Solanum lycopersicum: one gene and its partners. Each later gene encodes a partner of the first gene's protein in a complex. Links are inferred from orthologs where the notes say so. Each region holds a gene or a part of one and is shown on either strand. Other genes may lie near its edges. The genes, in order: general transcription and DNA repair factor IIH helicase subunit XPD, general transcription and DNA repair factor IIH subunit TFB4, general transcription and DNA repair factor IIH subunit TFB2 and general transcription factor IIH subunit 2.

Region 1 (7,726 bases):
GCGAGGATGTCAAGTATTACCAGGTCGTCTTCTTCTGGTGGTATCCCAGTGTCAAAGCCATCACGAAGCCTTCTATTCTCCTCCTCCAACAGAGCAGAACGTTCTTGCATAAAGCGCAAGTCTGATCTCACTGATTTCAGTTCTCGAGCTAACGTGGCTGCTTTTGACGCCATGGAAATTGCAAGCTTCACAGAGATATGTCAAGTTAGATCGTGAACACAAATGCAAAGGTGATGTAACACCCAAAAAAAAAAATAAACTGAGAGAGACGGGTACCAACATTTTTGGCTTTCTTGAACTTCCCAATATGTTTCAAGACCTGCCCATTTTCTTTTTTGGTATCATCATCTTGTTGTGAATCCTCTGAACATTCGTCCAATTTCCTCTTCAATCCTTTATTTCCTTCTTCAGTCTCTTCTTTTTCTTCATCTCCCTCGTGTTTACCTTCCTTTGATTGGTTTTCTCGACTTGCCTTCTCCATTGTGCAATGAAGTATATCTGTCAATGTGGGTGGTTTTGCTAGATCCCTTGCTCCCTGTATGAAAATTACAGGATGCATGATCAATAACTCGATGTATGCACTCGCAAACAGAATTTCAACTTGTATGCTTTTTTTTCAACTATATCATGCAGTGCATTTATACTCCCAAATACACTTCTTAAACTTCAACAAAATATAGTCGTTATGAATTATGTACGCCTCAAAATGTTACATTCCAGAAGTGTAAGAGTATCTATGAGCAACATCTTCTTTTAACCTCATCTAGCAACTATTAATGATTAGAAAGCACTATACTGAGTAAAGGACCTCAAATTTACGAATCAAATCTTCTTTTTGACTAATCTATCTTCCTTAAAACAAGAGGCCATTGATAATTCACACCACTAATCCTATATGTACTACATATATGCATATACACTGATTTTAAATCCATAAATGACAATTGACAAACAAGATAGGTGCTTCTTTTATTCCCATCTAGCAAATTATTTATGATTACAACAACACCAACATACCCAGTATAGACACACAAAGTGGGCTCTGGGGAGGGTAGAGTGTACACGGACCTTAACTCTACCTTGGGGGTAAGAAAGGTTGTTTCCAATTGACCCTTGACTCAAGGAAAAACAGTCCGAAGCAAGTCCAGAAAAGGAGTAATGGAAGTGAAAGCTACAACATTCTAAACAGTAACTACAACAAAATAGTAATGCTACGACTACTAGAATTGATTGATAGTGAGACACCACACTATGCCACTGATAACCAAAGTACAAGAAACAACAAATAGTAACAGAAATCAAACTAAAGGAAATTGATATTGAGACAACACACTATTACCTACTAATTTACTACCCTACTCCGTGCCCACCAGTTATGATTAACAAACACAAATGCTCATCCAAATTAAGGTAAGAAAACTCAATTTTACAAACCAAAATTGCATCCCAACATTTGAAAAATCATAGATCTTTATCCTATATGAGCTTTTGATCAAACATTAAAACAAGGGATACCTGAAGGGCATTTTCCAGATTGTCAGATAACAGTGAAAGAGAGGAAGAAACTGAATCAAATCCTCTTAGTAAAAGCATAGCATCCTCCTTCATCCTCTTCGATCGATCCTCTGCTCCATCGAGCTGCTACAAACAATTTTCAAAGTAAATACACAAAAATTGAGACCCAAAAACAAATCTCACTGTTTCTGATATACTCTCGACTCGTGTTAAACCATTAACACAACAAAACAATAATCGAGGTACAAGTATAGTAGCAAAAAGCAAACTACAATAAAGCTACCAAAAATCAAATCTTGAATATTAATTTAAGCCCAATTTACCTTTTGAGCAGGGTTGTGATTTTCGCGGTTTTCAAGAAGAGTATCTACCCTACTGCGAAGATTACTCCAGAATCGTTTATCTGATGATGGACTGTAAATTGGTGAAGAACCCATCAAGCTTGGTGAACCCTGAAATGGTGGAAAAATTCAATTTTTATAAAAAAAACAAATCTAAAGCTGCAATCTTTATTGTTGTTTTTTTTTTTATAAAAACAACAATCATGAACAACAACATACAATAATCGAAGCTAAAGAATCAACAGAACTTGTCATAACATAAAAACAAATCTAAAGTTGCAATCTTTAATGAATAAAGTACCTTGTTAAGGGAAGCAGGGGATGAAGATTCTACTGAGATTGTCATTTGAGTTTTCTGGATTTGGAGAGAGAGAGAGAGTGTGTGTGTGTTTTAGAGAGAGAAAATTGAATATGTAACGGCTAGTTTCGAAGGAGCTGATGATGAGGTACTCTTTAAATAGGAGAGTATACACATACTAACGTTATAAATTGCACAAAGTTGTCTTCTTGCCTTTGCATTTATATTGTTGACTTGTTTTCTAAGGGGTTGTTTGGGTAGTACATGGTGGGATTTTTTAAATAATTTTTTTGTCCTTGATATGACGGTTGATATCCGTATTTGAATTCGATTAATTCAGATTCTGTTAGAGGATTTTTCCATACACAAAACATGAATTCGAGACTTATGGTTAAAAAAGAAATAACCCGATTCATCGTACGACATTCTTTAACGGTGGTCGGATAGCTTATGACTAAGTTTGATTTTTGATCTATATTATGTTATCAACACGAGTTGTGGTGTAGTGCTAGGACTGGCCCACCCTTAATCAACCTGCAGAGCGCGATTCAACTTTAGTCAGGCTCTATATATGTTTAGATCCCGATATAAATCTAAGTTTTAGTCTTGAGATATTGCATCTTATCTTATTTAACGTGAGATTATTTTACCCCAATTTCTATATGAGGTAAACTAACACTTGATCTATATGTTTGTTCTCATTCATCTTGAATTTAAGGTTCGCTACATGTTTGCTCTCATTCAACTTAAATTTAAGGTTTTTTGCCTTATTCAACATGAGATTATTTTATCCCAGTTTCTATGTGAGATAAATTAGACTCTTGAACTATTTGTTTGTCCTCGATCAACTTTAGTTTAAGGTTTTTTGTGTGTTTTAAAATATTCATTATATAAATAAATTCAAAGCAACATATATAATGTAACGTCACGAGTAAAGTTTGAGAGTGAAATATACACAAAATTTACTTTTATCTTTGTGGATTAGAGATGCTATTTAAGATAAACTTGTTTCTAAAAAGAAAATATAAGAATTTCAAGATAACAAGGTACAAAACAAATGTAGAAGAAAATAACAAAAGATAGTATTACACATCCAAGAAATATTTTAAAAAAAAAGATATTTATATCACGTAAATTGGAACAAGTATTATTAAACCTTATTTAAGTGTACATAATTGGAACAAATATAGTAGAGCCCCCCCCCCCCAAACTACCCCTCACTCTTTGCCGCTTTACTGTTAAATCCTATACAACATTAGGGTCTAAAGAAGAACTTAGGTCTCAATTTTTCTTCAAAAAAAAACTCACCAAGATTCAATTTTTTCACTCAGAAAACAAGAAAATCAGCAAACCCCAGAAGATGAAATTCCAATTAGAAGATGTAACAATCTATTTTCCATATGATAACATATATCCAGAACAGTATCAATACATGTTAGAACTCAAAAGAGCTTTAGATGCAAAAGGGCATTGTCTTCTTGAAATGCCTACAGGAACTGGTAAAACAATTGCTTTACTTTCTTTAATTACAAGTTACAGACTTTCAAAACCATCAAATCCAATTAAGCTTCTTTATTGTACAAGAACTGTACATGAAATGGAGAAAACATTAGCTGAGCTTAAATTGTTGTATAATTATCAGTTACAGCATTTCGGGCCGGGGGCTCGAATGCTGGCAATTGGGTTGTCATCAAGAAAGAATTTGTGTGTGAACCCATCTGTGGTTTCTGCTGAGAATAGGGATTCTGTTGATGCTGGTTGTAGGAAACTTACTGCTAGTTGGGTTAGAGCAATTGCTGTTGAAAATCCAAATATTCCTACTTGTTCCTATTATGAGAATTATGATACTGCTGATAAGGCTGGTACTTCCACTTTGCCTGCTGGAGTTTATACTTTGCAGGTATATCTCTCACCCTTCAATCAATGCATGATTAATTATGCCTCGATCCCAACTTAGTTGGAGTTAGCTAGATGAATGTGGTTTATTATTTCTATATGTTTTAGATGGTTATAGTTAAGTGAAAGATAACTTTTTTTGTTTGCTTCGTGTGGAAATAAATTAGTTGTTCTTGACTTTGCTTGTGGAGGGTTCAATGACATCTATTATATAAACTAGGCATAATACTTAAACAAACACTTAAACTTGGCCTCAACTAACAAGTAAGCACACCAACTTTGATAGAGCATATTTTGACATCTCAACTTGGTCTCAACTGGTACCTAATCAATTTACTCCTTCCGTTTCAAAAAGAATGACCATATTTCCTTTTTAGTTTGTTTCAAAAAGAATGATCCCTTTCTTTTTTGGTAACACTTTAACTTTAACTTTCCACGTGGTATGTTTAAGACCACAAGATTAAAGGGCATTTTGGTATATTTGACATAACTTTGATTTAGAACCACAAGATTAAAAAATCTTCTTTCTTTTCTTAAACTCCGTTCCAAGTCAAACTAGACCATCCTTTTTGAAACGGAAGGAGTAACTCGTCTCTACTGTGTCTCGTGGACACCTGATGTTGACGTGACACATAAATTTTGGAGGTGTTTAGATGATCATTTTGTTGATTGGAGTGTTCAACTGACACAGTGGATGTAAGTTGAGGTGACTAGATGTGCATATTCGAAGTTGGAGTGCTTACTTAGTTTGAGTGTCCGTGTATGTATTATGCCTATAATCTAATGTGGTTGGATAAGGGGTTATAGTGAAACAATTGATTGTGCAGCGGTGAAGAGTTTTTCTGCGTTATATGTTGTAAAGACTATTTCTTCACTAGAACATTTACTGTCATGATTAAGGCTGTTTCTGCATTTTTTAGGAGCTAAGATTGTTTGGTAAGGAGAAAGGCTGGTGCCCGTACTTTCTGGCGAGGCATATGGTGCAGCAGGCAAATGTTGTGGTTTACAGCTACCAATACCTTCTTGATCCCAAGGTTGCTGGTATCATATCAAAGGAGATGGAGAGAGAGTGTGTCGTAGTGTTTGATGAGGCCCATAATATAGACAATGTATGTATTGAGGCACTTAGTGTCAGTGTGAGGAAGCAAACACTTGAAGGGGCAACAAGGAATCTCAGTAGGATGTCTAATGAAATTGAAAGGTAAATATCTTCTGTGACAATAGCCTCTTCTTTCGATGACAATCTTTTAACAACCAAGCAAAAAACAATTACCTCTTCTTGTCACAATGACTCAAAAGATATCGTTTTTGAGTTTTAAATTTCTCCCAATAATGAATATATTTAGTTTCAAGAATTCATGGTAAGAATCAATTTTGATATAATAAGAAGTTAAAATAGGATTAACAAAAACTCTGTTAGAAGAAGTTCTCTCAGGCACTAATATCGAGTTTATAGTCTAGCTCGATATTTCCTACTTTCCTGTTCTCCGGTGATCCTTCTGATCACCAGAATGTACCTTATTCCTTTCTTTCTTTATTGTCTTTCTTCATTTCTCCATAGATAGCACTCTAAGGGCATTGCCTGTATTTACAACCACAAACATCAACACTGCTCCAAAGTTCAAAGGAGCATAAGTACAACTTCACTCAACTAAGTAAGTATCACTGACTCCCTAATTCAAGGATGACACGAGACTTTGTAAACAATAATGGAATATAAGCAAATCAAAACATTGTAAAACATTTTTCATTATAAAATATTATAAAGCATTTCATGCTGAACCATGGTTTGCATATTCTTACTTGATAGCATAGAAGTATAAATTTTCTAATAGCATTTGAATTATGTTTCATGCTGTAGTTTTCTGGGTCAAAAATGATTTGAAATACCTTGGAGATTGTTCAATCTATTATATATGATGTAATGATCTGTTATAACCCTCTCTTGGACAAGCCCTGTAAAGGCAAATACGTAAAGAAAAAAGAAGAGAAGTAAAGTAAAAGGATGGTGAGATACCCATGTTTGGCTAACATCTTGCATGGTAGGAAGGCTGAAGGCTACTGATGCTGGTCGATTGCGGGTTGAGTATAATCGTCTAGTTGAGGGTCTAGCTCAAAGACTGCCCGGTATGTTGATTAAAGTGTTCGTTCACGATGTACGTCTAATCTTGTGCAAGTGATAGTAAGCCAAGTTTCTTTCTCATCTATCTTCTTTGTACAGCTCAGGATGTATGGCTTGCTAATCCCGCCTTGCCTGATGACATCATGAAGGAGGCAGTGCCAGGAAATATAAGGAAAGCAGAGCATTTCTTGTCTGTTTTGCGAAGATTTGTCCAGTATCTTAATGGGCGTCTGGAGACTGATAATGTAGAAAAAGAAGGCCCTGTTGCCTTTGTTGCTTCTATTAATACACAAGTTGGAATTGATCAAAAGATGTTAAAATTTTGTTATGATAGGCTTCACTCCCTTATGTTAACCCTGGAGATTACTGATACAGATGAGTTTCTGCATATACAAACTGTTTGTGACCTTGCCACGTTGGTAGGGACGTACGCTCGGGGCTTTTCCATTATAATTGAACCATATGACGAGAGGATGCCACATATTCCTGATCCTGTCCTGCAGGTGCGTGTTTGCTTCTCTTGGGACATATTTGTCTAGCTTTGTGATTTACTTGTCTTGAGTTAAATACTATATATTGAAAATTATTGTCATTAGTTTCTAAATATTTTACCATTCAGATGTTGGATTTTCGAGTGCACTGGTCTTTTCTCAAGACACTTACTTGTCTAGCTTTGTCATTTACTTGTCTTGAGTTAAATACTATATATTGAAAATTATTGTTATTAGTTTCTAAATATTTTACCATTCAGATGTTGGATTTTCGAGTGCACTGGTCTTTTATTTGTTCTCAAGGCACTTACGATTGTGATGCCTCTTACCTGAGTGGGGAATCAATTTGTCCTTCTTTATATTGATCTTTTTGTAATGATTGCCTCTAATTAGTCTAATCATAGTCCATGTCTCCTGTAATGCACATCTGTCCATAAAAATATTGCTATATTGTTTTGAAATGCATATAACTGGGAAGATATCTAAATTGCCATTGATAATTTTTTAAGTTGCTTTACGATTAGTGCTCAATTTTCTTACATCAGAAATATTTTGGCTTGCCAGCTTACCTGTCACGATGCCTCTCTTGCCATAAAGCCTGTTTTTGAACGATTCCAATCTGTTGTGATTACCTCGGGGACCCTCAGTCCAATTGATCTCTATCCTCGTCTTCTCAATTTTAATCCGGTAGTAAGTCGAAGCTTCAAGATGTCACTGACAAGGGATTGCATATGCCCAATGGTCCTTACCCGGGGAAGGTAAACATTTGACTTGCTGTTGACCTCTCATGACTATACCTATCTCAACTCCCAACCCACTCACAAGATGTGGATGAGAAGAAGAGCATATATCCTGTTTGAGTGTTTCTTAGTTTGATTATGTTGAAGAATTTAGTACATGTTATCTGTTTTGTGTTTCTCTTAAATTGCAGTGATCAGCTTCCTGTAAGCACTAAGTATGACCTGAGAAGCGATCCGGGCGTCGAGAAAAATTATGGGAAGCTTTTGCTAGAAATGGTTTCTGTTGTTCCAGATGGGGTTGTCTGTTTTTTTGTCAGTTACTC
Region 2 (7,711 bases), about 43 Mb from region 1:
TAACAGCGGATCAGCAAATCAAAGAAAGTTCAATTTGATATTCTTTAAAGAAAAAAGTTCAACACTTCAATTCAACCAGAAGAGACTATCCTAATTTTTATCACCGAACAAGGTTATTTCTAAAATAGTTGTATCGCAGGGTTAAATCTAGGAATTGAGTAGTCACTGATGGAATCATTAGTACTTGGCTCCTATTTGATAAGGTAGTACTATAGCTCCCTTGTTAGTCCATATTTCAAAACAATACATTTAACCTTGTAATTTCATACTTTTTTCCCTTTATAAGTTTTTTGCCGAGTTAACTAAGCAAAAGAAAAAACATAAAGGACCTCTGCAACTCTGAATTGGATATCTTCCTTTAACTCTCTAATATAGTAGCATTAACTCACTTGTGCAATAGTTGAGGACATATAAAGTTTGCAGATCCACCATAACGCACATTGGCTCATTCATTCTAGCAGTGAATCAAAATTTCAACCTAAACAGTGAATACATGCTGCTTTATTTAATTTCATATACATTCCCTTAGAGTTTCACTGTGAGAAAATCCAAAGTGCAGTTTACTATCTCTGTTTCAATCATGAGAAGATGCTGAGTTAAAGAAATAGTTTCAGGTTACTTTAAACGTATTAAAATATTAGCCAACAACCTGTAAAAAGCAACAAAACTGGAATTTTCCAATAAAATCTACAAAAAAATAACAGCAGAAGTGATACTTGGATAATTCTAGAAAGATAGCACCACTCACTCTTTTGTGTGAGCTTTCAATCCAGTACTTGTTTGGCTTTGAAAATCTCAAAATACCTGCTTTGACGACAGTTACAGCATCATGATCCTGTCAAAACGGGAAAAATATGTATAGAACCTCATATATATTTATCTTGAAGGCAGTTAGAAATTATAAACTTTTGATGCATTGCCTCCTTATACTTAGAGCCACAGTAAGTATAATGCTGAATAGAGTACTATCATCCACAGAGGAAAATAACCATATACAGGTAAAGTGCAAGAAAAGCTAGCTTTGAATACATTAGCTTTAAGTCTCTTTTTGATACATATAGAATGAGAGAAAAAGAACAAATTTTTTTTTCAAAATAGCAAGAACTATGTGCCTACAAATGTTGAGTTCTTGGTGTATCAAACAAGTAAATTGTAATAATCCAAAATCAGTGAGAGAATTAATGTATTCCCTGAATGTGAGAAGGAACTTTCTTGGTGCTCTGAACAACAAAATTCCAACTCACTTACCAGAAAGAAAAAAAAAGCAAGAACAGTGTATAAAACATAAAAAGAACCTTTTTTTAAGCTAATATTTGTATATACAAGAGCCACAAACAAAAATCTATAAACCCATGAGACAGAAATCAAAGCTCTGAGAGGAAAAACCTGTTGGAGGCCGCCACCCAGTTTAATCGTTTGGTTAGTCATGCTGGAAAGATCTAAAACAACATCACCAGGAACCTAATCAAAACCAAAAATACAATCTTTTTTGCATCAAACAATTTATACACTATAATCTGGCACAAGAAATCGAAAAAAAAAAAGTTTGTACTTACTACTGGTTTATCAATGAAGCAAGGTTTCGAACCCATTGTATTGTGTTTTTCTTGATTGAACAGAGTGTTTGTGTAAAGTCTTGGGGTTTATGTCTCAACAATGTTAAAGATTGCTAACCTAGCACCCCTTTGTTATCAACATAAATAGTTTTTATACAAAGTTATATTTTTTAAAAAATAAGGAACGAAGAAACTTCTAATTTGGGTTAGAGGAAAATAAAAAAAAATTATATTTTTTACGCAAATTATATAATGTCAATAGCTAATTATATTTCATTCTTACTATATTCAAATTACTAAAATTCCCTAAGTATAGTGGAATCCGAATACATTCCAAAGCATTTCGATACATCGTATCTATGTTTCAGATATGTTGCATCTCGATTATCTGATACATTGCTCACATCCTCATATATCACGCAAAGTGATTTATTCGACTAGTTATAATTTTTTCAAATAGTAAAAGTTTTAAATAATGTGATAAAATAAGTTGTGTATTTAATTTTCCTAAAAATAATAAGTACTCCTAGGTAGGGAAAATTAAAATAGAGAATTAAAAATAAAGGGATTTTTTTTTAAAAAAATAAAAATAATAATTTGGATTTTAGGGGAAAATTAAAATAAGAAATAATAAAGTAAAAAGTTTGGGTTTAGGGAAAATTAAAATAATATGTAAAAAAAATTGACAGCTGTGGGATTTGAACCCACGCCCTTTCGGACCAGAGCCTAAATCTGGCGCCTTAGACCACTCGGCCAAACTGTCTTTTTGTTATGATAACGATGTTTTTTTTTATTAACAATTAATTATCGAAGTCTTTTTCTGTTATGATTCAATAAAAATAAGCATTATATAAGTAAAAAGGCAAAGCCCGACAGTATATTGCATCGGCGACGCTCTCTACACCTGACCGGTGAATTAAGGTTTATTCCACCGGCGGCCATGACACCGGTTTCATCAAAGCTTTACGCAGGTCTGTCTCCTTCTCTGTCTGTGTAGCTGAAGTATGCAATAAGTACATGTTAGTGGAATAAGAGGAAAATGTGTTAAAATTAATCTCTTTTGAATACTTTCAGACGATGTGAGCCTATTGATGGTTCTGGTTGATACAAATCCCTACTTCTGGAGCTCAATGAAGAACACTGCCTTCACATTCCCTAAATTCATATCACACGTAAAGACCCCTAAAACCCAAAATTTGTTTTTTTTTTTAAAAAAAAATGAATAGTTTTGTGTTCTCCATTTGTTGAATTTTGATGCTGGAATGTATGGGGGAAATGCAGGTTCTTGCTTTCTTGAATTCGATACTTTTACTGAATCAGATGAACCAAGTAGTTGTGATTGCAACTGGGTACAATTCATGTGATTATGTATTCGATTCGTCTACCTCGTCAATGCAAAGAGCTGAGTGTTTGTTGGAGAAACTGGAGGATTTTGTGGATAAAGATGAGTCCTTGAGTCAAGAAGACTCTGTTGATGGAGTTGGGTTTTCGCTGCTTTCTGGTGCACTTTCTATGGCTTTGTGCTGTATCCTCAATCAGTTCATGTCTGTTGGTTTTTTTTATATTCTTATTGAAGTGAAATTTTAATGATTTTTATTGAGATGCAGAACCAAAATTTGGACTTGCTAGGTTTATTCTTTGAAGCTCTTAGCACTGAATTTATTGACTGTTGAAATTCTAGATACGAAATCTAATCTTTTTGGTTAGATTTTAGTTTTTCTTACTTGTGTATTCATGTTCCGTATTTGAAAATACTGAGTTTGGTTGAACCCGTAGCTATTAGCTATATCTGCCACTGGTTTTTATTTGTTATTGTGCATAGCTTTGCATTCACGTTTGTTTAGAGGAAGTGTTTCTCTTGACCTGTGTGCACTGTTAGACATTCAACGGGTATTTCGTTCAGGGCCTCTTCATCCACAACCTCGGGTAAGTTCCTTATTTTACAAGAAACTGAAAATGGGTTCTTCTGGGATTTTGAATTGATGGAATTTGTTATGAGAATTTCTACTTGTATTATTTTGTTTATCCAGTTACATTTATAGATTTTATGCTTATGTGAAATTTTCCTGGTCGATCCATTTGGGATCGTAAGCTTTAGCATTTACAAGCATAACATGTTATTATGCCAAATACCTTATCCATGGAAATATCTCTCGTCCAAGGGGAAAAAGAACTTCGAGTTTTTTCCAGTGATTTCTTTGGCCTTTTACGTTTCATGTTAATTCTGATAGTGTTTCTTAACCCCAAAGGTGCATTTAAGGGGGTTTGGTGAGGTAATACTTTAAGTTATTCTATGTTTTATGTACCTTAAACAAAACCATCAATTAAACTTCAATGTGCCCTGATTTATTTGTACTGCAATTTTTATCCAATGGTATAGTGAAACTACCATTCCCATCCTTATCAAGAAAAGAAAAAACTAGCATTCCCGATGAAATGCCATTTCTGGTCCCATTTCATTGGCAATTTCTTAATGTGATATTATCAGATATTACTACATCATTTTTGTGTTTGTTAATTTGATCATTTATCAGTAAGGTAGTTGTTAGGAAAAAAAAATCTGTCTTCTCTTGTTTTATACTTTAAAATTTGATCCGTTTTTGTTATGTTGGATATGAATATTGATGCTAAGAAAATGTGCTTGAAATTATGGCAGATATTGTGTCTGCATGGATCTCCAGATGGGCCGGGACAGTATGTTGGATCTTCACAGCTTCTACAATCTTCTCATTGTTAGGTTCTCTGCTGAAACATGTTCTTTTTTTGCAGATATGTTGCAGTCATGAATTCAATTTTCTCAGCTCAACGTTCAATGGTATATAGGATTTAACAATTCTTTCCTTCAATTTTCCTTCTTGATTAATTAGAAAGTTGTCACATGTCTTCATAAATGTAGAATTTTCAAAATTAGGGATCGGGACTTAGATTTCCATATTGTGATCCTACTCTAAGAAATGCAATGCGTTTTTATTGCAGGTACCCATTGATTCATGTGTAATAGGATCTCAGCATTCTGCTTTTCTTCAGCAGGTAGCATTTCTATACCTGAAAGTTCTGGTTGAAAATCTATTCCTTCTCAGCATGAGTTATTTTCTGGCTCACTGATCTTATGGTGCATATCTATCTGGGAACAGGCTTCTTACATAACTGGTGGTGTATATTTGAAACCCCAAGTATCAGATGGACTGTTTCAATATCTCTCTGTAAGTGTTATTAAAATTATTAATACTAAGTTGTCTCTCTTTGTCAAAAAAAATACTAAGTTGTCTCTAGCTTAGCATTTTAACTTGTCAATAGCATGGATCCAACATTGAACATCTACGGTTGTCTCCAGTGCTGCCTTCAGACATTAGTTTCTATCTGATGTGTAAGCATGTTGAACAAGTCACTATACTTTGATTTGTTTAGTGTATGCAATTTTTGTTTCCAAGGAGCTTACACTAAAAAGACCTTCCAAAAGTTTGACCTATTTTAAATCTGGTATTAAATATTTAATATATGTACTACTATTGTTGGTGTTGGAGATACAGTGATCAACCAAAAGGCTATGACTGAAAGTACCAATGTACTCTTTGTGGACTTAGAAAATCTTCTCCAAATGTCTTCTGGACTGCCGCAGTCCGATGGCTTCTCCTTTTGCCCTCTATAGTGAACTTCTCATGCTTTGTCTCTGTGAGTAGGAGATAATAATATCATGAATGAAGATGTGATTGTTGTATGACCTTATTTTCAACATTTCGTTCACGTTTCATGGAATGCAATAGACCCATTGCTAAAACCACTTCCACGACTAGAATACAGTATCTACACCAGAAGTTATATTGAAATTGATTTCTTATTCAAGATGTTCTTTCACATCAACAAGTTGCATATTTCTGTCTGATGCGGTTGGTGTACTGTGCTTTCATTCACCTGGTGTGATCTGTAAGATGGTTAAATGCCTTGTTTTATTTTTGAGATGTTTTATTTGTAGAATGTCTTGTCTTGAGATCTAATTTTCCGTTTGAAAATACTGACAAGACTGTAATAAATACAGACAGTTTTTGCGACTGATTTACATTCTCGGAGCTTCTTGCAACTTCCCAGACCTGTTGGAGTTGACTTCCGTGCATCGTAAGTGATTAGTGTGTCTATTATTCAAGTTATGTCACATATGATGAACTGGTAATATAATATTTGGTATGTATCCTCACTAATATTTTATGCACTCTTTTTGATGGTAGTATTCAACTTTTTGTATTGTCAATGTTCAAGTTCGTTGTGTTAGCTTATCTCATTCTTCTTGAATCGTCTCAAATTACCTACGAAGCTTAAGTGATTTATCCATCTAGCTCAATGTCATTTAAGAATGGTTGTACCACCTTTTCTCTTGCATTGTGAAAGCTCTTTCCTATTATACCTTTTTTTACTTCAATTAGACAAAAGCTTTCATCATCCACTCGTATTTTTGGCAGACAGAAATTCTCCTTGGATCTTCTTATTTGAGGTTGTTGTATCATCTGTTAATTTTGTCTTAACCATATCTTTCCCAACTCCCAGCTTTGAGTCATTACGAGTGTTACGAACTTGCAACTAACTTTTGAGAGTGCAGCTTTTGATAGGATACTTATCCTGAAAAAAGAAAACAATGTTTATCAAGGAGACCTATTCTCTACTAATAGCAAAAGTAGAGTATTTATTGAATTTCCTCCTATCTGGACTCAAATAAATCTGTGCTCCAATTTCCAGTCTATTCTTACAAATTCTTGGATTTAGCCCCCAATTAGTATTGGGTACTCTTCACCCCTTTACATTCCATTAAGTATAGCTGCTCATCTGATTATGTTGTGCGACTAATTTTCAGGTGCTTTTGCCATAAAAACACGATTGACATGGGTTTCATATGCTCTGTTTGTTTATCAATATTCTGCAAGCATCACAAGAAATGCTCAACTTGCGGGTGAGTATTCATTATAAACTTATTGAAGTGTCTCATTGATGAACTTCTCTTTTTTTCATTAATTATGCTGCATTAAGAATAATGTTCCGTCCAAAGAGTTCACATGAACTTGTGATCATGTCAATGTTACTGTCAGTACTGGTTACTTTTTGATCAGTTAGGAGTTCTATTGCTGTACACACAAGGAGTTGAGGTATTCTAATGAACAGCACTCTTATATTCTAATAGGGAGAGTTGCCATGATTTACATGCCCTAGCTTCATTACATCAAGGTTTTAACACTAACGCTAAAAGATAAATACATATTTTCAATCTATGTACACTTATGTTTTCATTCAAAATCTCTAGCCTTCTCACCTTCTAGACCGCCCACCAAATACGAGAAGGGAACTAGAAGTATTGGTTATTGGTTATAGTTTCATATTATTTACAAGGACAAGGGTGGCATGGACATAATAATGTGTATGCTAGTTATGTGATTTTCACTTATTTGTTTTGCGACATAATATCTGCTAGTTTTCTGGAAAGGTTGAACTCTGCACAGCAATTATAGGGATAATAGGTGCAGTTAAAAGGTCCTATTGAAAAACATAGAAGCTGAGGCAATGTTACCTACCTTGCACTATGTTAACTATCTGAATTTCTTGAGAGAAGATACATGAACATCACTCACCTAGTAAGTGCTAATGGATAACTTGTCATTACATTTTAAGGATTCTTTTCTTGTTTCCTGAGAACATTTCAGACAAAAACCGAAGACACAGGAAAAAGGGTTGCTTGATTCCATTTTAATATTGTAGAAGTTTATCTGTAGTAGCATCCTAACTGTTTTTCAACCACTCACTCCGCTGATAACTCAATTCATTGAGTTTGGGTATCCTAATTTTTAAGTTCATGCCATAAAATGCAGATCAAATTTTGGGGAGGCACGAAAGCAGGATCCCTCAGCCTCGGATCAGAGGAGGACTTCATATGGTAGTTGAATAGATAATCCTAAAGCCTATTTAACACCTCAGGCCATTGCCACTACTGTGTTTCAATAGATTTCTTATGATATGAACTTCCAGATGGTTATATTAAAGACGAGTCCAAACTGGACTAATGATACTAGACTATGTTTCAGCAGCAGGAAGAGGAAATTAAGGAAAGAGGGAGCTTGACCTTTTTCCAGTGTCAAGAATCTCCTTCTCTAGGTGAAGGAATACATAGGATGATT
Region 3 (7,747 bases), on another chromosome or scaffold:
AAAAAAATAATATTTTTTTCTCTACTTATTTCTCACATTAAATTATTTTTTTCTCTATTTATTTCTCACATTATTTTTAAAATTTTACTAAACATCAATTAACAACAAAGATCGGAAAAATTGATAAGGCCTAAGGGTACATTACGTGATACTGTGGTGAAATTATTTTATCTTTAATTAAAAATGTAGAAGTTGAATTCTGAATTTAGAAAAAATCCAATTAAGAGTTGCACCTCAAAATGAATACCGCAATATACTATGTGAATTTAATTAAAGCTTCAATATAGACTTTAAACATGAAATTAAAAAAAATAATTTGTCGTTTATCTTGTTTTATTATTATTGATGAGGATATGCGTGTTGCGGCCTCCGTGATTGCTTCGCTGGATTTGAAACGCATGCGTAAGTTGCTGAGCACTACGAGCCATTACACTCAGAATTTCAAACAGTTCTCAGTTTCAATTTTGTTCTTTCCGATGGTAAAATAGGGGGAAAAATAATTTTTTCTTAATTTAGTAAGTGATTGAATAAAATGAGTCAATTATTATTAGTAAGATGTCCATATAATATGGAACGAAGGGAGTATTGACTTGACATAAAAATTTTAAACAGGAAAAATCCATCTGGTCAGAATTTAGCCAAGGTGATATTCAACTTGTGTTATTTTATCTTCTTAAATATTTTTATGTTTTTTAACTTTAATACCTTTAAAAAAATAGAAAAAATATCAGTTTATTTTAAAATTTAAAAAAATATTATAATTTTTTTAAAAATTTTCTGATTATTTAGCATTTTTTTAATAAAAATTAAAGAAATTTTTGATCTTATAATTTTAATAAAATATAAAAATCAGAGGCGAATTCATAATTTGAAAACTACTGGTGCAACATTAATATATGACTAATGCACGTATAAATATGAATGAAATGATTATTACTAAATAAAGTTTGTTTTGTGGATTTGGTGACTTTGAACTTAACTTAGCACATGAAGTTTTAAGTTCAAACTAGCCAACACCTTCTTTTTTTCAATATTTTAAAGACAAAATAGTAAATGGGATTCAAACAGAACCTCCACAAACACCTCAGAAAATGTGCACCATTTATAAACCAGCACATCCAATTAATGCTAGTAGGGTCTCAATGTGTCTAAGAAAATACATGTCCTATATATATATAATTTTTCTAAGTTATAGGACATGTTGAGAAATAGGAATCCGGGTTATTAAAGGATTTCCTGCGATTATTTCTAGTATGGAATGAGTCAATCATTCACTTTGGCATCTTATTGGACAAAAATGGTGATATTGTTCCTCCATTGATCAAGAATTTTGATTTTTGGGAAGTATCATGATCGTCCAATAAGAAGGGTTGCAATTTTTTCAAATGAACAATTTGAAGACCTATTGATTCTAACAACTGATTGCAGAGTTGATCATTCGGACCTTTCAATTCTTCATAGATGTAGATCTCAGACCTATGAATGGGGATATTTCCGAAACTCACACAGAAAAAAGGAAGTGAGTTTCCGCTTCTGCATAAAATTAAATTCTATATAAAATGTACCAAAATAATTTTTAGTATTGTGATTTTAAAGGTATATGGTGAAAAAGTTTGAAATTACAAAATTGCATTTAAAAAAGAAAGAAAGAAAAATGACATTTTTTAAAAAATAGATCAAAAAATAAATCAAAATAGGGGTATTTAGAAGGGTGAAAGTTGATATAAAACTATAGTGAAATAATTTGTACTCAAAACTAATAATATGCAGTAAAACAAAAGCAAGAACAACAAAGTCGCCTAAATTTCCGAATCAACGATTATTCCCCCCATTTCCTGCATATTCTTTTTTATTTGATTAAAATCCACTATCTTCATCTTCCACATAATTTAAAAAAAATAAAATCTGCAAAATTTGATATTAGATAAAACAAAATACGAAAATTAAAGATTAGAGAGAAATAATGATTCCACAGAAATGGGCACCACCTTGTAACAAGCAATGCACAAATAAATTCTCAGCCCTCACCCAAATTCCTTGTAATTTACTCTCTTAATTCCCCCTTTCAATTGTAATTTAAAGGTCTTATATTTGTGTTAATATTTGAACTTGTTATAAGTACCAAGTAATTCGATTCACCGTTAACCAATTAGTAGGATTATGGAATAAGATGGCCTTCGTATAGCTGGGCCTAACTAGTCTGGGATTGAGACGTGTATGTTTGAATTAGTTAGAATAACGACTTGTTTTATACTTAGACTCATAGATAATGATGCATTTTATTTGTTGTTTTAAATTATACATTATCATGAGTAAAATTTTTGTAGGGAGAGTTTTTTGCAAAAAGGCGTGTGATGATGATGGCGATACATGGGAAGAATGTAAGTTTCCTAAACTTTATTGGTTTTCATGTTGCAGATGTATGTATCATGTAGAACAAAGGAACATTCAAATTTTAAAATGATATAGGAAATCATATCGTTGTTAAGGCGTTTAATGCCTCAATGCATCTGTATTCAATTTAAGGTAGAATAGAAATGAAAAGGTATGTGCAGGTTTGGAACAATGCGATGAGATGTGCTATAAGGGTCCGGTTATGAAGGATCAACAATGGAGTGCTTGTATTGATCGCGCCCCTGGTTCTGCTACCCACTCTGAGGATTGTCATCGCGCTTGTGTAGCTGGCTGTGGTTTCAAGGTCAGTTTCTTGTATAGTACATAAAACAGGGAAAACATGCTGTACATAGTCTTAAGATCCACTCTGTTTATGAAAAATGCAATTCATGTCAATTGGTTAGAGGCGGATCTAGGATGAGTACTGTTGCAGGTTCATCTGAACCCAAACACGTAATATATTAATAAGATCACGTTCATTCTGAACCCTCACTAACTCTAGATGTTACGTTAGCCTATTACCATTTTGCTTTATTGGATGCTGTCAAATGTTTTTATTTTTATCTTACTGTGCAGTTTGATATCCCTACTGAGGAAGTAAATAAAATCCAATCAAACAGGTCTTCCAAGACTCTAGCAGAAGAGGAGCCAGCTGATAAAAACAAGTAAACTTGAAGATTTTCTTAATGCAACTAATTGTAATGGGCAAGAATAGCATCTATATATAGTTTATTCTACGAGCTAGGATTTCTACTATAGGAAACAGTTTCTCTAGTCCTCCAAAGGTACAATTGAGGTCTGTGTATATTCTATTCTAATCATACACCACTTGTGGGATTATACTGAGTATATTATTGTTGTAACTTCATTATGCAAATAGAAGTGTTAACTTTTTCTTTCTGTAATACAACAATCTAATAGAAGATAATGCTCATAAAGTTTAAATTTATGCAGTTATAAATTACAACGTAATTATGTAAGTAAATCTTTTATGAAAATATTGACGGGTAATAATACTTTATCGGAGGATAAACTACACTAATCATGTGAAAATTATTTACATAATTTATACCATCAAAAAATATTTAATTTAAAATGTTAAATCATAATGAAGAAATTAGTTACCTGGGAGATAAGTGACAACTTGCTTACAATAGGTTTGAGAAGCTTCGACATTTGGAAATTTCATAAGCATTCGAGAATTTAATTTTTATGAAAATATGATAGAGTTTCACTCGAGAAATTTGAAACTACATGACAAAATTAATTTTCGATACCAAGTAGTATTTCGCTGAACCCAAAAATGCGGTCCAATTCATATTGGGCCTTCAAAGTTTTTGGCCCAAATAGCAAGAGAAAAGAACCTTTGCTCGCCCGAGTGGGGTTCAATACATAAATCTACAGTTTCTGTAATGTTTATGAATCCGGCGATAATATGTATTAGCAGAAATTAGGGGAGAATCATCATCATTCAACAACAGCTAAAACCCTAGATTGAGAAATTGAAGTATTGAAAACCTTTATTTGATCTATAACAACAATGCCGCAAGTGAAGATCGTCGCCAGGAATTTCATGGACATGGTGGCTTCATTGCCTGTCATGAAACTCGACATGCTTTACGACAATTCCTTTATCTGTGAAGCCATTCTTAGGTATTCTAAAAATCCCCAATTTGATCGAATGTTAAGAGTTTTTCTTGCTGCACAACCAGTTATAGGATTAATTTCTGCTTGTAAAAATGGATGTAATTTCACCATTTTAGCATATAGTGATATGTACTGTGTACATTTGGATGCAAAAGTTGTTTACTTTGTCTTTAAGATTATTATTATGGAGAAATGAACTTCAAGCTATAGTCATAGATGGATGAAGTTAATCAGCAGCAAGTGCTGTGCTGACACAAGTATAAACATACACAAGCACAAATTTTTTAATGTTTGACTGTTTTTATAGAAAGTATTTGGAGTATATTTTTTTTTGTATCCATGGCAACAAGAGATTGATTAATTCACTAGTACTTAGCACTCACTGTATTCACCTCGAGCTATATCAAGGGAATTCACTTTTGGTGATACTATTTTGAAACATGTTATATTATGTGCTTAATTTGTTCATTTCTGCTAGATCGTTACCTCCCTTAGCGAAGAAGTATGTGCTGCAAATGTTGTATATAGACATACCAATTACAGCCAAGTCGATGGAGGAGTGGGTGCTTCCAGATGGATTCTCAAAGCATAAAGTTGCCATTGATAGATTGATACAGCTGAGAGTAATGACAGAAACATTTGACAGGTTATTGAGCAGATTCTTCTCTCTTGATAGCTGCTATATTTTTGTCTTGAATAACGCTGACCTATAACAACATTTGACACTTAAATTTTTATTTGGTTGTTATAAGCAAAAAAGAGATGCAAAAAATCTAATTTTTAATGTGAGAAAAGAGGATAAACTTGTTAAATTTAAAATCTCAGAAGTAATCATATTTCAGCAATTCAAAATTAAATAATGCTTGTACATTATCAATGAATTTTGACCCTTACAAGATGGAGTTTTTATCTCTAATGGAATACAAAGTCACTGCCTGTTGTTAAATTTCCTCCTCAACCGGAGGCGGATGCTATATAGAGGTCTGTATTTACTTTTCCCGCTTGATCCTATCTGGTTGTCATGTTTTTCACTTAGCACTTTAAATACACATGAGCAAAGTTAGAACTTTGGTCAAAATAAGCAAAAGCATGATTAAAGGGAATATCTTGAATTGTTAATGCTTGATCTTTCTTTTGTTTTTTCCTTTTAAGTTTTGCTCTTTATAAGCATTATAGAAGTTTTAGGTAGTAGAAATCATGTCTCAACTATTGGAATGACGAAATCTGGTCAGGGTGATCCACAATATCTTTGCATGTTGTTATAGTCAGTTTTTGATTGTTGAACGTTGCCATTCTCTTTGATTTCTTACAGGAAAAAGGAAGCCATGTATCAACTAAACCCAAAATTTCAATTTAATCTTCAGAAGCATATAGTCTATGGGTAAGCTTTATTATCTTATTTATGTTATTTTCTCTGTAGGTGTTAATGATCACTACTGGCCAGCCCTCTCTGAGATGGGTGATCTAAAAATGAAAGTACATGTACAGTTAGTAGAAGTACTAGTCAATGACATTTGGCGTCTAGACACCAGATTCATGGCCTATTAATCCCCGTCTCGAAGGAACGATTTCTTTACTCATTTGCATATTTGAATAAAGTTGGCCCAAATTGAGTTGAGTTAATATAGAGAATTGATGTAGGTGACTGCAACTAGTTTGGGATTGATCGATTGAGGCATAATTATTATTATTGTTGTTGTAGGTATATTCACACTTGTGTATATGTTCCATTTTATTCATCCTATATGACTTCTTGATTTGTCTTGCTAAATTTCTAATTGGGCTCAAGTTCAGAATTTGACCCTGATACATTTGACCCTCAGTTGACCTATAAGATGCTAAACTTGATACAGTAACTTGTTGTGGTAATACTTCTACATGATGCTGAAATATCTGTCTTAACCTTGGTCTTGTAATTGCACTATAATATGTGATTTCAATTACTGTAGTGGAGTCTTACCAAGGGAACCAATGCCTTCTAATATCACTGTGAGGCTTCCTAGCTTGGAGGAGTTAGAGGCATATGCTGTCGAACAATGGGAGGTATGACTTGCATTTTGTTAGTAGTTCTTATCCGTTGATTTTCCAGGAGCGTTCAGAATGTGTAATAATATGTTGTGAGACAATCTGCTTTTCTTTCGGTCTTGATCAAACTGCAGCCTGAATATAATTTTGGCAACTATTTTTATGACTTGCAACTGTCGCAACCAGTGCTTTCTGCTGAACCTTATAAGCTCCAGTGAAGCTGGAAAGACCACAAACATAAGCTCTTCGATGATGAAAATCTTCCAGCGTGGACTTTTAAGTCAGAGGTACGTCCACCTCAGTGTTATGGATATATATTTACTCGCAGAAAACATATGTATAGTTCTTTGTCCTCATGTGTATTTATGATTTTGTAATAATCGATATAATCTCCATGAGTTCATGCCTTCTTAAGCAGAGACGATAGAGAACCTCCAAGGTTGACTGAAAGTGGGTTCCAATTCTTGGTACGATTTACTGAATTATCTGAATCAATTAGTGTTCTTTTTTGTTGGGAAATTGTATTGACTGGTGGCATATTACAGCTAATGGACACAAATGCACAGCTTTGGTACATCATCAGGGAGTACATAACAAATGCTGAGGTATTGCTGACCACCTCCTTCTCTCCCTGCATGTGTGTGTATGTGTGTCTCAAGCTCCATTGGTTCATTGGGTGGTGTTGTAATTCAGTTACATTTGACATTTGCTTATCCCTCACTTTTGCGGCTAGTCTTCTGATAGACTTTGGAGATAGGTAGGGAGGAATTTTCAGAGATGCAGCTTCGGCCTTTGTAGAGCTTGCTATAATTATATCACCTACTCTGCCTCTCTAAGGTCGTCAAAGCGAAAGCATTCCCAAGCCTGAATAGAGGAAGAGAGTTGAGGGAAACCGGTGGCGAATGTAGCAATAGTCAAACTATTTTGAATACTGAAAAAATGTGCAGATTGGATACAGGCGTTTCATACAAGATCATATAGCTAACCCCAATTAGTTTGGGGATTGGAACCTAGTTGAGTTGAGCTTATTAGTTCCACCTTAGATTTTATCGTTGCTGATAACATATTTTAGGCACTTTTTCCTTGTTTCCTTACCTCTTTAAATTAGTTAATACAAGCAAGAATCAAGAAGATATTCTTTCTTTGATTTAAGATTTTGGTTGAGAAGATATTGTGCCTATGACCATTATTTGGATTGTCTAGTATGGACTTCTATTTGTATAACTTTTGGACAATTTAATGATATTAAATGATTACTCTGTATTTTTCATATTAATGCAGGAGCGAGGAGTGGATTCAGCAGATCTTATTGCATTTCTTTTGGAGCTAAGCTTTCATGTTACTGGCAAGGTATTATTAGACAGTTCTAGAGCTTCTTGAATTAAGTTTGTCCTGGAGCTGTAGTAATGATACCATCTTTTGAACTCTAAATGCTTGAATTTTAGTTAGTTCTGGTTCTGGAGCACTCAGATGTTTGGTTGAAAAGTGGTGAATTTGTTTTTGCAGAAAGTTTTGTACTTTGACTTTAAAAAACAATATTTGAAAAACTGAAAAATATTGTGACGAAGTCTTTCAACCATTTTCCCAACCACACAGTTGTAATCTTCATTTCTTCAGTATGCTCAAGTTTCGTATGTTTGTTGAATTTTCTTCTGATATAGGCATACAATACAAACACAAT
Region 4 (7,923 bases), on another chromosome or scaffold:
CACAATTTCAATTGTTTCCACTCCATTAATATAATATTGATATTATTTGATAACCTACCTCTAGTAATGACAAAATGTGCTCCCTTAAATCTTTCCACCCTAAAAGAAGTGACCACACAGTGGTTGATTATTAGTAGACAAAAGTAATGGTATTAATTGATTTTCTTCATCAACAACTATAAAAAGATAACATTAATAAAGAGAGTATTAAACCATAAATCAATCTGATCATTGAAAGACTTAGCCAAAAATCTTACCTGAAGGCAGAGTAATCACATATTCCTCTTGCTATTCGTAATTTGATGCCAAAGAGGATTGTGAGTTTCCATTGATTAATTTTACATCCCCTTTAACTCTAATTTTAATTCATACACGGGCCAAGGGATTAGGATATTAAGTGAATGGAAAATTAGTAAACTAGTCAAAATTCCTAATATAATTATTAAAAATATCTACATTTTAAAAGAATTATTTAAAACATCAATACGTCAATATTTATGTAAATAAAATATATCTTAATACATTTAATTTTCTTTCCTTTTATTTCTCAAATCAATCCCACATTTGAGTCCATTTTGACTCCACTATCACACTAAGCATTATCAACTTCCTCTCCCTCTAGGGTTTTTGTACTCCAAATCTCTCTTTTTTTCTCTCTCTCATGCATTCTTCACCATGTGAAATCTCTCTCTTTCTCTCTCTCATGTGTTCTTCACCATGCGCTATAGAGCAGTCCAAAAAGAAGAAGAATTATGGGTGTTGAAGATGTTGATGAACAAGTTGAAGTTCAAATAGATAAAGAGATCTTATAGAGCATATCTGAGCATCTACATAACCCTATCCGCATGCGAAATCCTCCCCCAGTTCGAAATATGGATATCACCAACAAAAGAAAAATTACATGTACTTCATTTATAACAGCGAAATCAAAATAAGAAAATACAACTTCTTGAACATCAAACTTGTATGTTTATTCATTCTAGTTTTCATGTTATATTTTATATAATGAAACTTGTATTTCTTTATCAGTTTGTATTCGCTCCAATATGTATACCAAATTGCTTTTTGGATTTTTGATCAACAAGGGGGACAATGCCATGTAGTTTACTTTTGGATTCGTAGCTGATGAGAATTTTAAGTAAATATGTTCATTTTTTAAAATAATTTTTCCCCTAAATTACTCCTTTTGTTATTAAATAATTGTATTCTTTCAATTAAAACAAATAATAAAAATAGAAATCAGATACATAACAAATTAAAATATTGACATTTTAAATAAATATTGAAAGTGTTGCTAAGAAGTTTTATTACATGCTAAAATATTGACATTTTAAATTTTTTTCCGTAAATAAATTATAGAGTTGACCCATTAACCACCAATTAAATTGCATATTTAGAATCTATTTGTTAACTAAATAGTCTTAGTTAAATGAACAGCCTAAAGTTACCAATTTTAATTCACAAAAGAGTTAAAATAGTTATATTTCTCAAAGCAACCTAGCGGATCGTTACAAACGTTTTATACAACATGGGGTGAGGAATAAGTCTTGTGATACAGATATATATTTTATAAATCTACATGCCATATATTTTATGATGTCCAATTTTATAATTTTATTATTAAGAAAATATATAAAAGTAAAACATTCAACAGTTCTAAAAATAAATTTTATGAAATTATCATTAATATAAAAAAATATATTATACTCATCTAGGACATATGCCTTATAAATCTACTCTTTAAACTTGCAATAAGGGTTGGCATGGTATGATGCAGTATTTTAAAGTTTTAATACTGTAATTTTGATATTTGATTTTTAAAAACATTATAATATTACATATCAATTTAATTCAGTATGATTTGATATATTGAAATTTGATTTCGTGTGTGATTGTGAATACCGACCTAAAACCAACTGACCTCAAATGCAAGTCGGTTATTTCCGACCTCTGGAGGTCGGTATTGTTAAAAAGAATAAAAACAACTTTAAAAAATTGACTACACGGAGTCGATTTTTATGCAAAATAAAGCGGGAAAATCAAAGACTGACCTCTTTTTTCCCGAAAAAATGAGTTGCAATAAAACTGTGCTCTTGATGTCGGTACTAAATATAAATAAATAAATAATAATTTTTTTTCAATAAAATATAAAACACAAAACTGAGAAATATTTTGAATTAATTTTATTTAAATCGCCATCCGGAGGGCGATTTGTGTAAATTAAAAATAAAAAAAAATATAATATCGACTTACGAAAGACGGAAAAACTAAATAGTATGTAATTAAATTGATTTTCATTAAAATATTATAATAATTTCTAGAAGTTAATGAATTAATATTTTCAATTAACTTTAAATAAATCGTCCTCCGGATGATGGTTTTAGATAAGTTAAAAAATAAATTAACATATAATACCGACTTTCTAATGTCAATATTGTTTAATTAACATGAGATTTCTTATTAATCTTAAAATTTGATGTGATATTGATATCATGAGGTATGTATTTTTTATTGAATCTAATTACTTTTAATAAAAGCGATATCCATAGGTTGGTTTGTTTAATATATTTCTAGTAATCATAATTTTGCTATTGTACGTAATACTAAATTTTCATCTTACACCTTCAACTAATTGTTTGAAAAAGTATAACAATTTTGTATACTTTTGAATAAAAAGTTAGAATTTGTGGAATAAACAAGATAACATCGATAATTCATATTTAGAGTATAAAATTAGGTTGATATGAATTAGCAAATAGTTATACTTATATTTAGAAAGTAATGTACAAATTCTCTCAGTTTGTCGTCAAATGATCAAAGCAGGGACCATTTATTAGAAATAAAAGGAACAAACATATCATGTCATGATCTTGTCCCAAAACAAACTACTTTGTCCAAAATCAAAATACAGAAATGAACAACCAAAAGAGTTGGTCGTCTTTGAGCTTGAACTTCCATGGAGGATGAAGAGAAGGTGCTGCCTTGGAGTGAAATCCATCACATGCAGCAACCAAATTTGCATTTTGCATTTTTTAGATTCTCAAATTTGCAATTTTCTCTATGGTCCGAGAAATCGACCTCTCCATTGAAGGTAGTAGTGAGAAGAGGATAGAAGATAGTTCAAATGCCTCCAATATATAGACATAGATTGTAGTGGATCCGAATTAGGACAAATTTCATTGGAGACACTCATATAATCATGTAGAAGTGAAGAACCAACCTATAATCTATTCGAGTATAAATGCGAGATAATACTTGTAGAAACGTCATGATAACTATTTATTAATTTTATATTTATAATTAGTTGTTTAATTATTTGTACGTATAACCTTCAATGTCTTCTCTCGTTTTATGAAACAGATTATAAAACACCGTGTATCATTGTACAAAGCAAGTTCGATTAAGATTATTATGTTCGATCTTGAATGGTTGTTAAGTGTAGTGACCATATCGTAGAATATGGACATGTAAAAGATAATTCTTCGTAGTGTGAAATACATTAATTATATACTCCTTGAGTAGTTTAACAAATCAAGTCTTATAGATTAGTGGTTCAGATATGAAATATGTTATCAATTAAAGAAGAGATATCGATGTTCAATTTAAGGAGATTTATATATTGATATCGATAAACTTCTATCAATCGATAAAATTAAATTTATATAATTAAAAGATATATAATTTAAATTTATAACATTAAATTTACGTTGATGTAGTTAAATTAAATTTATTATAAATATATATAATTTTAATTAATATATTCGACCTCTTAAGGTGAGTTTATATTAAAATTGATATGTTTAATTATTATTTTATTTAAATAATATCAACTTCATTATGTCCATATTTATTTGGAATAAAATGTTTATAAATATAAATAATTATTTTAAAAAAGAATGATAATCTCTAAAAAAAAAAATATCAACTTCATTATGTCCATATTTATTTGGAATAAAATGTTTATAAATATAAATAATTATTTTAAAAAAGAATGATAATCTCTAAAAAAAAAACCTTTTAAGTTTTAAGTCTCTCTTTCCCTTCTAAACCTCTCTCACGCCCACCCATACTCGACCCAACCCCGACCGGCGCTGCCTCGATCAGCAGCAGCAGGAGGTCGCGCTACCTTCCCTGACTCGATCGTCAGCAAGTCGCAGCAGCAGCAGCAAACTTCGGCAGCAGCAACAGAAAACTCTGGTAGCAGCACAAACTCCGGCAGATTAGGTAATGTAATCAAGCTCTTCTATTGTATCTTTTTATAGGGTTGGATTATATTATTAGTAGTATGTATAACTGGCGTTTGAATAAAATCAAAAAATAAGTGTCATCAATAGGTTGGGTTGGACAGATTGAAGGGGTCATTTAATTGAGTTTGGTTGTTGTTCAATGTGGATCCTTCGATTGAGTTTATACACATTAAAATTTGAACACTTTAATGTGTTCAATTGAGTTTGGTTGTTGACATGTTCTCTTTGATTTACTGTCAAGTGCCAAACTTTCCCCATAAGGATGTAGATTTTGGCAAGTTGGACAGTCAATATATTGAAAACGGTAAGAGAATGTTAAGTGCATGTTGAATTTGTGTCTAAACCAGTATGCTGTTGTTACATATTATCTATGTTTCAGTTGCTCTAATAAACTAACCAATACAACACATTCCCATATCATCATATACAATTCTACCTTCCCAATATTGGACAGATATACCAATAACATGTGTATGCCTTACAATTTGATGTCAATATTGATTTATAATACTGATTGTACTTTAGAGATCTCATATATGTACAACTATGAACTGAAAACTTGTGTTTGTGCATGGAATAAAGGAGTCTGCAAATACTTCAAGGTGTTGTAAACTCAGACTAAAGCACTGAATGGATTTGACTACATACTTCAATTGCATTAGTATTGCTTCTAGTAAAGTATAGCATCCAGTTGAATCAACTACAGTCTAAATGTAATAATCTGAAATTTGATGCAATATGAAGAGACTAAAGTTACAACTACAGTTTGGTTGTTGTTTATATACATTAAAATTTGAACATTCTTGTTGGAATTCTTGGTTTCTTAACCCCGGACACAATCATGGTAACATATACATTACAATAACTAGTGGAAAAAAGAGAGGAAGTATTGAAAATAGGAGAAACCTATTTTGAGTTATCAAGAAAAAGAAAAAACAACACAAACTTGTTTACTAACTGTCAAACGCTAATAATCACTAAAATCTCTCTATAATGACCACTAAAGAAATTTTCAATTGTTTCTTTTCGTGGTAGGCAACTAAGGAAACTCAACGTCTAAAAAAGTTGATACAAGACTATATTGCTACTTTAATTATAAGGTTTGGTGTTTCTAAATTTCTAAAGTTCAAGTACAATTGTTTTTTATGATGTGTTTGTGTCCATCTAGTGTTGATATTAAGCTTTAATTTAAGAATAATGTGTTTGTTAAGCATAAGCACTAACATTAGTTGATTCTATTTTCTTTTTTTTTTGCAAGATCAGTTTGTATCCATCTAGTGTTGATCTCAAATTTTAATTTAGGAATAATGTGTTTGTTAAGCATAAGTACCGATATGATATTTTAAATATCAAATACAAAAAAATTAAAAGATATATCAATATACAATGATATCAAAATCATGATATTAAAAATTTTGATATAGTATGATATTTTGATATATACCATACCATGTAAACTCCTAATTTGCGCCTCAAAGCATTTCTTGAACACTCAAATACTTGTCACAAAAATGCCTTTGAAAACACTGATTTAAAGAAGATACCATGAAAAATTCAATTGGTCCATAAATTCTGTAAATTCCCAAATAAGCCTTTTGACCTCAAGATCCTCTCTATTCACTCTTATGATATAGACTAGTTACAAAGAGCCCGTTCAATTGTGCAAGCACAAATTAAATATACATAACTTTATTTATCTCAATAAATTTTTATGTGAGTTTTAAATGTTATAAGTTGTTTAATTGTTGTAATTTATAATTTTTTTTATGTAATTTACAAATAATATATATAAATTTGTCTCAGTTTATGTGGTACAAGTGAAATTTAAAGAGTCAATTGATTTAAATTTCAAATTATTAATTATTATCATCATTTATAATACTATGTCTTTTGTAATTTCTAAACACATAACATACGAAAAAGAAAAATAAAACAAATTGAAAACTTTAAATATAAATCGAGAAAATCTTTATTTATAGTACAATTTTTTAATACATAACATACTAAATAAATGAAAACAAAGAAAACACACTACATATAAATAGTAGAGGAAATTCAATGAGAGTGTAAAAGTCACAACTCAAGTACATAGGGTTCATCAAGAATTGGTTCAAAACAAAGTGCGGATTCACTCAATCCCACATCAATCTCTATCTTCTAACCTCCAAGGTATTTTTCTCTAGTAAGTTTCTCCGTACCCTTGTTTTTTTTGGTTGTTAATTGCAATTACTCAAAGAACTTTGAATTGTTATCAAAATATTGAAGTTGGGGAATTAATTTTTGTTTAGTTAGAGGAATCTTATTGTAAGTATGTTTTGTTGACTTGAGAAAATCATTGGGATGGTGAAAGTTTTGACTTTTATCTAGTAGGGGAAAGAGAGTTCCGAGAATATTTCTAATTTTATGAATGCGAGAATTAATCTGTTAGTGTTTCTTTGTTTACTTGTTAGAATGAAGAGCATTTTCAAATTCCTTTTATCAACGAAAACCTCTGTCTTTTGTAGTCTCAATTGTTTTTTTTTACGTCTAGTTTCCTTGTACAAATATTATATGCATTTTCTTTATCAATGAAGCTTCCTCTCTTCATTTTTCCAAATCGTATTTCTACATTAACACCTAGCTTCCTAGCATTAATTTTTACTTGTGTCACTTAGATTAATACAACTACTTGAATCTTTAATCATCTACATCAGTTAAAATTATCTAGCTTAAGCACTTAAATCCCACCTAGTTTGAATTTGTAGGGAACCTAGTTGTGAACCTTGTATGATGCCTATTACTTTTCTTTTGAGGTGATTTGAACTCTTAATGATCTCAGGTTGTGGAGACTAGTAAATTGAATTATTTGCAATTAGTTGTAGTAATAGGTTCCCTAATGCGCAAGAGGGGTGTTGGAATGAAGTGGATTGAGAACCCTAAGGTCGTTGCTTCAAATCCCAGTAGAGACAAAAAATAAGGTGATTTCATCCCATTTGTGGACGTTACCTAGTACCTCTTGGTAAGAGGTACATGTATCCCATGGAATTAATTGGCCCGGACACCACAATTATATTAAAAAAATTAGGGTGTTCTAACACACCTTAACCCAGTAGGTGATAACTCTTCTCTTTAGCTCATTAAAAGAGTTGTCACATGTTGAAGCCCGCTTTTGCGAGAAAATGGGGCGTGACACACTTAGGGGGAAAAGTGAAGCATAGAAATAGCAAAGGACTAGGTACATATTGGAAAATAGTGCATGTAGTAAGGATGTGTAATGCAAGGAACTCAGAACACCTACATACAGTATCTTGTACTAATACTGAGTTTGTACAATTAGTTTCTCAAGTATCTGGTTATCTTATTAAGAGTTGGTATTATATCTAACAGGGAAATGAACACGGAAGAAAAAAGATTTAATCAAGAAGAGGAGGATGAGGAAGAAAATGGGAGAGGTCGAGAAGCATGGGAAAGAACTTATGCAGATGAAAGATCATGGGAGTCTTTACAAGAGGATGAATCAGGACTCCTTCGTCCAATTGACAACAAAACTCTATCCCATGCTCAGTATCGACGACGTCTCCGCACTGCAACTGCTGCACGAATTCAGAAGGGTTTGATTCGGTACCTCTACATTATCATTGATTTCTCCAGGGTATGTAAAATCCTGTATGATTGCAAAATAACTGCAGTATTGTAA

What was found.
Region 2: general transcription and DNA repair factor IIH helicase subunit XPD (region 1) and general transcription and DNA repair factor IIH subunit TFB4 share a complex: the UniProt entries of both Arabidopsis thaliana proteins name them as parts of the 7-subunit TFIIH core complex. The link is inferred for Solanum lycopersicum from reciprocal best matches to the Arabidopsis thaliana genes UVH6 and AT1G18340.
Region 3: general transcription and DNA repair factor IIH helicase subunit XPD (region 1) and general transcription and DNA repair factor IIH subunit TFB2 share a complex: the UniProt entries of both Arabidopsis thaliana proteins name them as parts of the 7-subunit TFIIH core complex. The link is inferred for Solanum lycopersicum from reciprocal best matches to the Arabidopsis thaliana genes UVH6 and AT4G17020.
Region 4: general transcription and DNA repair factor IIH helicase subunit XPD (region 1) and general transcription factor IIH subunit 2 share a complex: the UniProt entries of both Arabidopsis thaliana proteins name them as parts of the 7-subunit TFIIH core complex. The link is inferred for Solanum lycopersicum from reciprocal best matches to the Arabidopsis thaliana genes UVH6 and GTF2H2.

The regions. Positions count from the first base shown.
Region 1 is NC_090805.1:2,933,064-2,940,789, reverse strand, and holds the start of general transcription and DNA repair factor IIH helicase subunit XPD, read left to right. Parts: upstream 1-3,366; 5' UTR 3,367-3,514; coding exon 3,515-4,054; intron 4,055-4,970; coding exon 4,971-5,251; intron 5,252-6,100; coding exon 6,101-6,177; intron 6,178-6,271; coding exon 6,272-6,675; intron 6,676-7,227; coding exon 7,228-7,421; intron 7,422-7,594; coding exon 7,595-7,726. Other genes in the region: uncharacterized protein, read right to left, coding at 21-185, 281-535, 1,516-1,641, 1,839-1,967, 2,158-2,202. UniProt on the Arabidopsis thaliana protein: ATP-dependent 5'-3' DNA helicase, component of the general transcription and DNA repair factor IIH (TFIIH) core complex, which is involved in general and transcription-coupled nucleotide excision repair (NER) of damaged DNA and, when complexed to CDK-activating kinase (CAK), involved in transcription by RNA polymerase II.
Region 2 is NC_090805.1:46,429,133-46,436,843, reverse strand, and holds the start of general transcription and DNA repair factor IIH subunit TFB4, read left to right. Parts: upstream 1-2,412; 5' UTR 2,413-2,496; coding exon 2,497-2,527; intron 2,528-2,630; coding exon 2,631-2,728; intron 2,729-2,837; coding exon 2,838-3,081; intron 3,082-3,435; coding exon 3,436-3,482; intron 3,483-4,212; coding exon 4,213-4,250; intron 4,251-4,325; coding exon 4,326-4,371; intron 4,372-4,532; coding exon 4,533-4,586; intron 4,587-4,690; coding exon 4,691-4,759; intron 4,760-5,592; coding exon 5,593-5,669; intron 5,670-6,399; coding exon 6,400-6,495; intron 6,496-7,405; coding exon 7,406-7,478; 3' UTR 7,479-7,711. Other genes in the region: uncharacterized protein, read right to left, coding at 749-835, 1,387-1,461, 1,557-1,592. UniProt on the Arabidopsis thaliana protein: Component of the general transcription and DNA repair factor IIH (TFIIH) core complex, which is involved in general and transcription-coupled nucleotide excision repair (NER) of damaged DNA and, when complexed to CAK, in RNA transcription by RNA polymerase II.
Region 3 is NC_090801.1:59,304,025-59,311,771, forward strand, and holds the start of general transcription and DNA repair factor IIH subunit TFB2, read left to right. Parts: upstream 1-3,781; 5' UTR 3,782-3,934; coding exon 3,935-4,047; intron 4,048-4,519; coding exon 4,520-4,687; intron 4,688-5,353; coding exon 5,354-5,422; intron 5,423-5,990; coding exon 5,991-6,084; intron 6,085-6,252; coding exon 6,253-6,353; intron 6,354-6,484; coding exon 6,485-6,533; intron 6,534-6,611; coding exon 6,612-6,671; intron 6,672-7,347; coding exon 7,348-7,416; intron 7,417-7,727; coding exon 7,728-7,747. Other genes in the region: uncharacterized protein, read left to right, coding at 1,964-2,039, 2,328-2,381, 2,556-2,698, 2,971-3,063. UniProt on the Arabidopsis thaliana protein: Component of the general transcription and DNA repair factor IIH (TFIIH) core complex, which is involved in general and transcription-coupled nucleotide excision repair (NER) of damaged DNA and, when complexed to CAK, in RNA transcription by RNA polymerase II.
Region 4 is NC_090803.1:54,341,553-54,349,475, reverse strand, and holds the start of general transcription factor IIH subunit 2, read left to right. Parts: upstream 1-3,989; 5' UTR 3,990-4,224; intron 4,225-5,282; exon of another isoform or gene 5,283-5,347; intron 5,348-7,613; 5' UTR 7,614-7,617; coding exon 7,618-7,878; intron 7,879-7,923. UniProt on the Arabidopsis thaliana protein: Component of the general transcription and DNA repair factor IIH (TFIIH) core complex, which is involved in general and transcription-coupled nucleotide excision repair (NER) of damaged DNA and, when complexed to CAK, in RNA transcription by RNA polymerase II.